Arabidopsis thaliana: one gene and its partners. The protein of the gene in region 3 interacts with the protein of the main gene of each other region in a pairwise test. Each region holds a gene or a part of one and is shown on either strand. Other genes may lie near its edges.

Region 1 (3,499 bases), on a different chromosome or scaffold from region 3:
CATTTTGATATCAAAAATCTTCCTCTTTAAGGTATCAAAAGATTTGTTCAAAAAAGAAAAATCTTCTTGTTTATCATGTGAAGTTTGTGAACCAATCAAAATTTATCTTCAGATCCTTTTTTTTTTCAATTTCATAATCGTAAGTCAAAAGAAAATATCTGTTTGCTTTTTTTCTAACGCACTTGTGTTTCCTCAAACTTATTATTTTTAAACTCATGTGCACGTACATGTAAACATTCATTTCCTCTCTTTTTCTTTTTTTTCTTGTCAAAACATTCATTTCCTCTTTAGTCACTACTATTATCGAAAACATTCATTTCCTCTTTAGTCATTACTATTATAGTATTATAGAAGATCATATATATCATGTGTATGATGAAGTCTCTTGGTTTAGCTGATCTCTTCATGTTCTTTATTACTTTCTTTATCTCCAAACCCCTCACCCATGGCCATCAGTCTTCAACAAGTCAAAGTAAATTGATAAATTCAGTATTTTTCATTAGACACCCCAAAGTATAAAAATGTATCGTTGATACGGTGATACAAGAACCAAAAGATGGAAAGATATATAAAGAATTTTCAACTTTTCATCAACCATCAAAATATAACTCTGATCCAAGTCATTAACGTTCAATTTGGTTAGAGTTCTGTTCTATTATGTGTTGATCCATAAATGGTAAAAAGATTGAATAGTATACAAATAAAAAGAGCCTATTTCAACCCAAACTTTTCTTTCCTAAACGTTTTAAAAATTCAAAAAAATTTGTACCTTAAAATTTGTGTGTAAATCAAAATATAGTTCATTTCTCGAGTTTCATATATATACATAGACGAAAGACATCAAGATCATACACAACATCAGAAGATGAATTTACAAAATACGAGAGAGACCTTCTTGCTAATGCTAACAACTAAATTACCAACCCCACTTCACGCGCCTCTAGCAACCTCAGAAGCTCCAATCACCGTCTTATCCTCTTGATTCTCCGCCGGCAAACCAAAATTGGTCGGCGCGTGAGGTCCAATCAGCTTAATTGAAGCGTTATCATAAGCTAGAGCAGCTTCCTCAGCAGTGTTAAAAGTACCCAGCCAGAGACGATCACGTCGTCCTTTACAAGCTCCTCTTCCACATCTGATCTCCGCCACCCACTTCCCCCACGGCCTCTGCCTCACTCCACGATATTTCTTCTCCGTTTTCGCCGTCTTGAGAAATTCCGCCGGGATCCTGATTTTGAACCGTGTTTTGCAGACATCGAGTTTATCGGCGGAATCGGAAGGATCGATTACGATCTCTTTAACGAGGCGTTTCCCACGGCGCCGAGTCTGGGATGCTCCTCCACGCTCCTCCGTGTCTTCGTCGCTAGAAGAATCGGTGGCTTCTGCGTCGGTGAATGAGATTCTGATAATACGCTTCATAGTGAATTTGCGGAAATTAGGGTTCCGTCTTCGTCTCCATTAAAAGGAAAGCATTTGAGAGAAAGAATATGTTTTTATTCTTTCAGAATCTCTTTTTCTGATGCTTTTCATCTTTACTTATTTACTTCTCTATTTTTTTCTAACCAATCCTATGTGGGCCGTATGGGCCTCAGAGCTGAAAATGCAGTAAAATCCATGAAATTTCTCAACATGGCTTGAAGCCCATCTTCTAAAGGAAAAAACGCTTTACTCTTTTTTCCTTCATCTATGTAATAAGAAGCAGAAATTTAGGAATAAGTTTGAAACTTTAATCACACATAAGAGTAAGTGCAAAAACATGAACAATGTTCTTGCCTTCCGTGTCAATTTTGTATATATATATATATATATATATATATATATATATGTGTGTCAGTATATAATCTCCTTTTATATGATTATAAACTCATTTGTCCCATGTCTTCTTCTTCTTCAATGGACTTACTCATGTGTCTGCTTCTTCTAATCTCTCCGGTTGTTCTGGCCAAGTCTTCTTCCACCGTCCCTGCTATCTTTACCTTCGGTGACTCTATTTTTGACGCCGGAAACAACCATTACAACAAAAACTGTACCGCTCAGGCTGATTTTCCTCCTTATGGTTCTTCCTTTTTCCACCGTCCTACTGGGAGGTTCACCAACGGAAGAACCGTCGCTGACTTCATCTGTAACAAATTACCTCCCAACTCGTTAACTAAAACATTTCTTCTTCTGCAAGGAACCTTACTTTTGTCTCTTTTTTCTTTTCTTGACGCAATAATTGCAGCGGAATTTGTAGGCCTTCCATTACAGAAACCATTCTTGGAATTGCAGATTCAAATCTTGAATGGAACTTCAAACTTTTCAAATGGCATTAACTTTGCTAGTGCTGGTAGTGGTCTCTTGCTTGATACCAACAAATTTATGGTAAATATCTACCTTGACCAAATAAAATGTTTGTTTCTTGTGAATCACTCATTAAGTACACATATCAAATGTAGGGCGTGACACCGATCCAAACCCAGCTACAGCAATTCCAGACACTTGTAGAGCAAAACCTTATCGAAAAATCTATAATCCAAGAGTCTCTCTTCTTATTAGAAACTGGTTCTAACGACATCTTCAACTACTTCCTCCCATTCCGAGCTCCTACACTTTCTCCAGACGCTTATGTGAACGCAATGTTAGACCAAGTGAACAAAACGATTGATCAGATCTACAAACTAGGCGCACGCCGCATCGCTTTCTTCTCCTTAGGTCCTGTAGGTTGTGTCCCTGCAAGAGCCATGCTTCCTAATGCCCCAACCAATAAATGCTTTGGTAAGATGAATGTTATGGCCAAGATGTATAATAAAAGACTTGAAGATATAGTGAACATAATCCCCACTAAGTACCCTGGAGCCATTGCGGTGTTTGGAGCTGTATATGGTATCACTCACAGATTTCAAACCTACCCTGCCCGTTACGGTAAACTCAATATAGTTAATTAACTTCCATCTTTGAGATCTTTTTCAAATGTGTCTATGAGAAAGCTGAATCATGTTTTTGGTGAAGGGTTTTCGGATGTTTCAAACGCGTGTTGTGGGAACGGTACACTGGGAGGATTGATGCAGTGTGGAAGAGAAGGATACAAGATTTGCAATAACCCAAATGAGTTTCTGTTTTGGGATTTTTATCATCCCACAGAACACACTTACCGTCTCATGTCAAAAGCTTTATGGAATGGAAACAAAAACCATATCAGACCATTTAATCTCATGGCTCTTGCCACCAACAAGATCACATTTTAATACTTATATCTCCCTTGTATATAGAATTCATAATGAGTTTGTATCTGAATTAAGACTCGAAATCATTGTGAAAACAAAAGCCAGAAAGTGAAACTTCGCTCCACTTCTGGTCTCTTCTTCCTCTTCTACTGTAACATGAACGCTACAAAATGTTTTTATTGTTCTCTTTCATATCATTATGAAATACAATATCTGATTCTATCTAACTATACCTCTATACTATACGCATTCTACAGAAAGCTTAGGTTCGTCATCTGAGTGATGAGTATCCAAGCCGT
Region 2 (3,759 bases), on a different chromosome or scaffold from region 3:
ATGTTTTGGCTATTTAAAAAAAAAAATTGGTGCGGTAAAGAATGGTAAAATTGTAGCGAGGTGATAATAGAAAGTTGTTAAGAAACATCTCAAATTACAGCATCTTGGCCGATAATAAAACTAATATACTATGTTTGATCATCATATGATTTATTTTTCGTTCTAGCCTGCTTCTTTGATTCGTAGCCAAACAAGCTGGAGCACTCCCAAAGTCCCGAGTCTTAACGTTTTATGGCCCATTAACGATCTAAAGCCCAACATAAAGAACCTATTTCTATCCTTTGAGAAGTTTTCTCTGTCCGACGATTCATAGCCAATTAACGCTAAGATTACTATTTGATTTAATCTAAAATATCTTTAGCGAAAAGAAAGTTATTTACCAAAATCTAAAAATTTATATGTAATTATCGAAATCTTTTTAAAAAATTTGATATGTAATTATCGAAATCTTCTTATAAGAACAATATACCAACTCTTTTCTTTAATAACCCTAACAAAAAAAAGATACATAAATCTGGTGCATATACACATCTCTCTATCCGTCTCTCTCTGGGTTTCAATGGATTATGAAAACGGAGAAATAATAGCTCCTAAATCCACCACTTTATGGGATAGACTTACACCACGACAAAAAAAGTATGTGTTCACGTGTGTCTTGGTTTTTTTGATCGCTATCGCAACCGCTGCAATTATCGTTTATGCCTACTCTGAATCAGCACAAGAACGACGTGAAAAACGGCGTAAAGAACAACGTATAGAAAACTATGCACCGGATATTATAATACCATCTATGGATTTCACAGTCCTTAATTTAACCGAGACTAGTCTTAGTGTTAAATGGGATTTAGTGATCAGGCTTCCTTCAGATCTTCCTGGTTACTATATGTGTCTCAAAGGAGATTTGCAGACTTTCATACTTTACAAAGGTGTTACCATTGCTAATTCATCCTTAGACAGGTTACACTTTTTAAAAATTTCAATACTCTTTTTTTTTTTTTTTCTTTAACTAATTTCGTTTGTTCATATATTTTTGTTTGAACTTTTTTGTGTTATGCTCTATCAGTTACAATCTGATACCAAATTGGCCTCAGCTGCTTAATACCTCATCGGTAATTGCTTCTGAGGGAGATATGGACAGTGTTGTTGTGAAAGACATTATGGACGATATAAAGGAAAGAAGAGACATGCGGTTCGGATCGAGGTTGCTTCTTCCGGATTGTAGATCTGGGAGGAAGATGAACTATACGTGTGATGAAACTGCGGTTCGGTTTGAGCCTGGCTCTCAAAGGAAGGCAACTGCGTTTGAAAACGCCGCTCCTATATGCCACTATATTCACACTTAAGTAAAATTTTCATCAATAATGATTTTTATGTTTTAGTTTGCATATGTTGGATCTTCTTCTTTTGCCTTTTGATATCGTAGGAAAGAACTTAAACAACACAATGCGCTTTTGTTTTTTTTTCCTTTGGCTTCAATGGAATATACTTTGTTCTAATGTATTATTATTTTCGTTAATAATTATACTCTCATAGTAAGATACTATTTTTTAAAAAGATTCTATTTAAACATATGGTACTACATCAATATCATAAGTTAATCATTACATCAACTTAAAAAATTTATTTAGTTAGTCTGTTTAACGTACCGAACCGATAATTAAATTTCGAAATCAAATCTACCGATTGGTTTGTATCTAATAACCAAACTAGAACCGATTTGCACAAACTTCGGTTTGGACTTATCAATTTTGTTTTTAATCTGAAGGCCTACTTTTTTCTTTCTATAAATATTGGATAAGACTCATAAAAGTAGTATTTGGTATATTAAGAAAAAGAGTAAAAAATCCATATAAAGGAGAGAAAATCGAATCGTTATGTTAACAAAAAGATTATGTTTAACGTACGTGATATTAAGTATCTTTATATGACTCATGTAGTTATTTATAAACCTAAAACCTTACGACTTTCTTTGTGTCAATTGTCAAGTCTTTTGTATCTTCCTGTAAGCCTGTTACGTGTGAGGTAACGTGTCCATCAATACTTGTGTCCTAGCGAACTTTGATCGATCCTCTTCACTTTGATCCTATCTTGTTTCTATACTGAAATTCTTAGATCAAAATATAGTGTGACATAATCTGAGGAGTAAGTTAGATTCAAATCTTCTGGTCGATAGCTGTAAATTCCCTTGCAATGTTTTCTATGACTCTAATTGCTAGATCTGCGCTGGTTGTATGAATTTTTGGGATAATTTCGATTATTTTTCTTTGAACTTATATATCTTGAATTCGTTTATTGAGATTTAAGACTTGTATTGATTTTCAAAGTTGTTTATATTGGGAGTCGAACATTAATCTATTTTCTCTTCCTCTGGATAATGAAGCACTTGCCAGTTGTCAGTTTCAAAACCATGGTTGCAAATAAGAAGCTAACTACAACCGATGCACTTGATTTCCTCCATCTTGTAAAAACTAAATATCAAGATAATCGTGAAATATATGATAGTTTTCTTACGATCATGAAGGATTTCAGAGGTCAGAGGTATTTTTTTTCTTCTTCTTCCCTCATAATAGTTTCAGCTCTTAGTTATATAAAGTTTTGGTAAACTGTTTTTTTTTTTTTTTACTAATTGTAGAGCTAAAACATGTGACGTCATATCAAAAGTGAAAGAACTCTTCAAAGGGCAACCAGAGCTTCTCTTAGGTTTCAACACATTCTTGCCAACGGGGTTTGAAATAACACTCAGTGATGACGAACTTACGTCAAATTCGAAGTTTGCTCACTTTGACGAAGCATATGAATTTGTCAACAAGGTCAAGGTAGTTGGGCAAAATCATACTAGTAATTAGAGTTTGATTATGATTATTTTGATCCAAAAGATCTAAAATCTAAATAAAAAACAGGTTTAGTCATTTAAATTTAGAGAGATGAATAAACTTGTTTAGATTTTAGTGTTAAAATTTAGGATATCAGATTTATCGTTTTAATTAAGGGTTAGTTTCGGTGTAAATATTTCGGTTTATATCATTTGTATTCTCTATTGCTGTTTATTTTGCAGCCCTACTAGAAATTATATTACTCTTTTCTGTACAATTTTTTTTTTTACTTTTCTCTTAAATATCATTTTTTCTGTAGACAAGATTTCAGAACAATGATGTATTCAACTCATTTTTAGAGGTTTTGAAAACGCATAAAAAGGAAAACAAGAGCGTTGCTGAGCTCTACCAGGAGGTGTATATATATATATGTTTCACTACCTTTTCTTTTTCCATCTTTCTTGTATTGGATTTAATGTAATGTATTATTTTGTAGGTGGCTATCCTTTTTCAAGGCCATCGAGACTTGCTTGAGGAATTTCATCTCTTTCTTCCACATTATGGATGAAGAATGATGAATTATGTATACAATGAAGCCATGCAAGTTGTGGTTCAAAGCCACTTTATCTGCTTCCATTTGACTCAATGGGGATTATCATTAGTTTGTTGCTGAACTGGTAAAACTAGTACTCAATTTTTCAAGTTGTTTTATACTATTTAAACTGAATATTATGGATAATACACAAATTATTTATCAATTTACTTAAGACAATATAATTATGCTTAGTGAGAATGTACCAAACCTTTTTTTTTGGGTTAAAGGTTGCTGCACTAATTAAAAGAACAAACGGCGAATTACAAATTCTCAAATAAACGACAACAAACCCGACACGGTACAAGAAGATAATTTGAACCAAACCATACAAACAAAAGAATATTGCCTAGG
Region 3 (3,663 bases):
ATCATCCCATCACCAATAAGAACAATGAAGCTCAACAGAACCAAAACCCAAAACATAGCTTTGGCTTAATCAGTTCCTGAAACACCAAGTTTGATAAACAAACAACAATTAGATAAAATTCCCAAAAACTTTAAGAATCACAAAATGAGAGATTGTGAGCCACTTCACCAAATCAAAATGGGATTTTTTTAAAAAGAGTAACATAGGAAGAGAAAGCTAGAAACTTCTAATGAAACAAAAAGAATAAGGAAGATAAGCAAAGAAAGTGACTTTAACCAGAACTGAAAAAGTGTCACGAGGATTAAACCCTTACCTCAAACATAGAGAACAAGGATTGTCAAGAAATGAGTGGCAGAGATGCCAAAACCCAAACCCAAACCAAAATCATCCTTTAAAGAAAAGCAGATTCGTCAGGCACATGAAAAATCTAGCTGAAAGAAAGCATGAGGAACAAGCAAGAGGAGTACACATATAAAAACCTGAAAAAAGGAAGGAGTAGGTCTTCAATAAACAAAAAGGAGGTAAACTGACAAAAGTAAAATCATGGGTTTGCTTGAAGATTTAGGAAAGTGGTAAGCTTTTTGGTGGGATTTGATTACTTCCAATCAGAATTCATGCACTAGTCACATTTACAGGCTAAGAAAAAAAGAGTTAGAGAAGGAAATTGGATAGACTAACCATAATTGTCGACATAGATAATGAGCCATTATCGATTGAAAAATGTGAACTTCTTAACTTGTAAGTTTTGTTTCCAGTGAAAAATGAAAACTTTTTGTTTTGTTTGCAAGTGACGAAGTGACCCTTTTGGTTCCCAGCCAAAGTAAAGAAGATGATGATGAGAAACATATTATTCCTTACTATAATCTATAATGGTAGTCTATAATCTTTTATTGGCTAGTGAAATCATTAACCCAAAAAAAGAGATAATTAACCAAATCATCTTTGGGACCATTAATCGTTTGCGTCATGGAGTTGTATGATTATACTTTTGATTATTGAATCAGTATTTTATAATTATATATTATACTTGTATTTGGATTCCGTTATACCTTGATCCAATGACTGTTTTAAATTTATTTTATTGTTTCATTTTCTTTTTTGAAAAGTAATAGTATTATATTTTGTGGTCTTTCATGCGACAATGAGAAAGTCTGGATATTTCGAATATTATTTGGTTCAGGTATTTAAAACATCTTCCCATGTTCCACATATGACATAACTCCAAAAATGAATGTATGTTGTTGGACCATTCTTTTATTTGTAACCTTTTTTTACCCCAAACCAATAAAAATTACAGATGCTTATGGCATTTTCTGATTTTGTTGTCCTATATAGGCAACCTTAAACCTTCTTACCAAAAAAGAGAGACAAGTTTACTTATACCAAAAACAATTCTTGTTATTATTTAAATGTTTCAGGAAGATAAGAAAACGCACGATAAAGAAAATCTAACGGATATAGAAACAAAAATAATAATCTAGGAAACAAATCGTAATCAAATGTCCAATTTCAATAGTGTGAATCATGGGATGGGAGAGTGGCGATTTTATTTCTGTGGAAGTGTGGAACCTCCACCGAAATTGAGTAATGGAAGCTCAAACTCCACTAAAATCTTTACTTTTTCCAAATCTTCCAATTGGCTTTGGAATTTTGTTGGCTTTGGAATTTTGTTGCTTCAATATTCTTGCATAGGCTTAGAATTTAATAATAGACGCAAGATTTATAAGGCCTATCAGAAATAATGGACTCTAGTATTATAAGGCCCATAAGAAATAATGAACTCTAGTATTATAAGGCCCATCAAAGATAAACTTGGGCCAACAAATAATAAGCAGCAAAACTGATACATAAAAAACGTGGTGGTTTCAAACTGCAAAGAGATAAGTCTCTTCCTTACATAGTAAACCGCTCTGTTCCTCAACTGAAGTTAACTGTCTCCCTGTTCCTCCATAACTTCTTTCCCACGTAACCTCTCCTTCTTCTTCTACTTAAGCAACCCTTTCTCTAACTTCTACTCTTTTTTTTCCCACTTTTCTTCCATCACTTCCTCTACGTGCTCACAATGAACAACAATCATTCCTATGATGATCGCAGTTTTCACATTCCACTTCATCCTTCTAACACAAGCAACCCTAATCCAAATCTCCAGTTTGCTTTATCTTCAAGCTACGATCACAGTCCTAAGAAGAAACGCACCAAAACCGTTGCTTCATCCTCTAGTTCTTCACCAAAATCCGCGTCAAAACCAAAATACACCAAAAAACCAGACCCAAATGCCCCCAAAATCACACGTCCATGTACTGAATGTGGCAGAAAGTTTTGGTCTTGGAAGGCTCTCTTTGGTCACATGAGATGTCACCCTGAGCGTCAATGGCGTGGCATTAATCCTCCTCCTAACTACCGTGTGCCCACCGCGGCTTCTTCAAAACAGTTAAACCAGATATTACCAAATTGGGTCTCATTTATGTCCGAGGAAGACCATGAAGTCGCTTCTTGTCTCTTAATGCTGTCTAATGGTACACCATCATCATCGAGTATTGAACGGTTCGAGTGTGGAGGATGTAAGAAAGTGTTTGGATCACATCAGGCTTTAGGAGGACACAGAGCGAGTCATAAAAACGTTAAAGGCTGTTTCGCTATCACAAACGTAACCGATGATCCTATGACGGTTTCTACTTCTAGTGGGCATGATCATCAGGGAAAAATCCTTACGTTTTCAGGGCATCATAAGTGTAATATCTGTTTTAGAGTGTTCTCGAGTGGTCAAGCTTTAGGAGGTCACATGAGATGTCATTGGGAAAAGGAGGAGGAGCCGATGATCAGTGGTGCTTTGGATTTGAATGTTCCTCCAACAATACAGGATCTTTCTACTTCGGACACATCAGGGTGTTGTTTAGATCTTAGGTTAGGACTCTAATTAGTATCTATATATATATATAATGTCTGTAGGTATATTGGATGTTTCCTTCTAATTAATAGGTCAATGTACATGTTGTGATTTGATGATAAGTATAACGTATGTAGGATATTCTGCTATATATATGCTTAATAAAGAAAAATATTTAGTTTTGTGCTTTCGAAATGCACTGATTTTCTGGTATATTAATTAATTTTGAATCAGATCAGAAAAGAAAAGAAAAAAACACTTGAATCAAGAAAGAAAACAAAACTTGTGTTGTACCAAAATGTAAAAGAAAGTTTCAAACGTATATCCAACCAAATACTAGAGAACAGAATTGATCTCTTAAAACATGAAATTCATAAGCAGATATTGAGCCGTTTTGTAAAATTTAAGCCAACTAAGAAAAGGGAAAACATTTTAATTTCACGGAAGCTTAATTAGTATTATTCTTGCCAAATTTCGTTGTTTGACTTGATCTCAAACTCACCACGATCTCCAAGACTCCAACCATTCTATTTTTAATTATTTTCTTAAAACTCTTACCATTCTATCGTATATAGATTAGATCTTATTCCGCTAGAGAATCTTAGTGTTACTTATATCTAAGATAACCTTGTTTTCACCAGCTAGCTTTAACATAAACAATGCTTAAATAAAGATTGAATCTTAAAGAAAATTATTAGTCTAAAGATTCAGATGCATTATAGGTAAACACGCGGAACTAATTACAACATGCACGAACCCTAATCCGAGACAGTTTT

Evidence for each region.
Region 1: the proteins of DAZ2 (region 3) and CRF8 interact in a two-hybrid assay, tested with the Arabidopsis thaliana proteins (one large-scale study listed by BioGRID).
Region 2: the proteins of DAZ2 (region 3) and AT1G70030 interact in a two-hybrid assay, tested with the Arabidopsis thaliana proteins (one large-scale study listed by BioGRID).

The regions. Positions count from the first base shown.
Region 1 is NC_003070.9:26,820,794-26,824,292, reverse strand, and holds CRF8 (Integrase-type DNA-binding superfamily protein), read right to left. Parts: upstream 1,777-3,499; 5' UTR 1,417-1,776; coding exon 931-1,416; 3' UTR 622-930; downstream 1-621. Other genes in the region: GLIP6 (GDSL-motif lipase/hydrolase 6), read left to right, coding at 1,873-2,119, 2,219-2,358, 2,433-2,898, 2,986-3,221; AT1G71110 (uncharacterized protein), read right to left, coding at 3,441-3,499.
Region 2 is NC_003070.9:26,376,811-26,380,569, forward strand, and holds AT1G70030 (Paired amphipathic helix (PAH2) superfamily protein), read left to right. Parts: upstream 1-1,830; 5' UTR 1,831-2,022; intron 2,023-2,045; exon of another isoform or gene 2,046-2,374; coding exon of another isoform or gene 2,375-2,407; coding exon 2,408-2,538; intron 2,539-2,632; coding exon 2,633-2,816; coding exon of another isoform or gene 2,817-2,846; exon of another isoform or gene 2,847-2,854; intron 2,855-3,132; coding exon 3,133-3,228; intron 3,229-3,309; coding exon 3,310-3,381; 3' UTR 3,382-3,569; downstream 3,570-3,759. Other genes in the region: AT1G70020 (transmembrane protein, putative (DUF1163)), read left to right, coding at 560-957, 1,064-1,343.
Region 3 is NC_003075.7:16,786,683-16,790,345, reverse strand, and holds DAZ2 (C2H2-like zinc finger protein), read left to right. Parts: upstream 1-2,062; coding exon 2,063-2,917; 3' UTR 2,918-3,066; downstream 3,067-3,663. Other genes in the region: GLUR2 (glutamate receptor 2), read right to left, coding at 1-56. UniProt on the Arabidopsis thaliana protein: Mediates the regulation of male germ cell division by DUO1.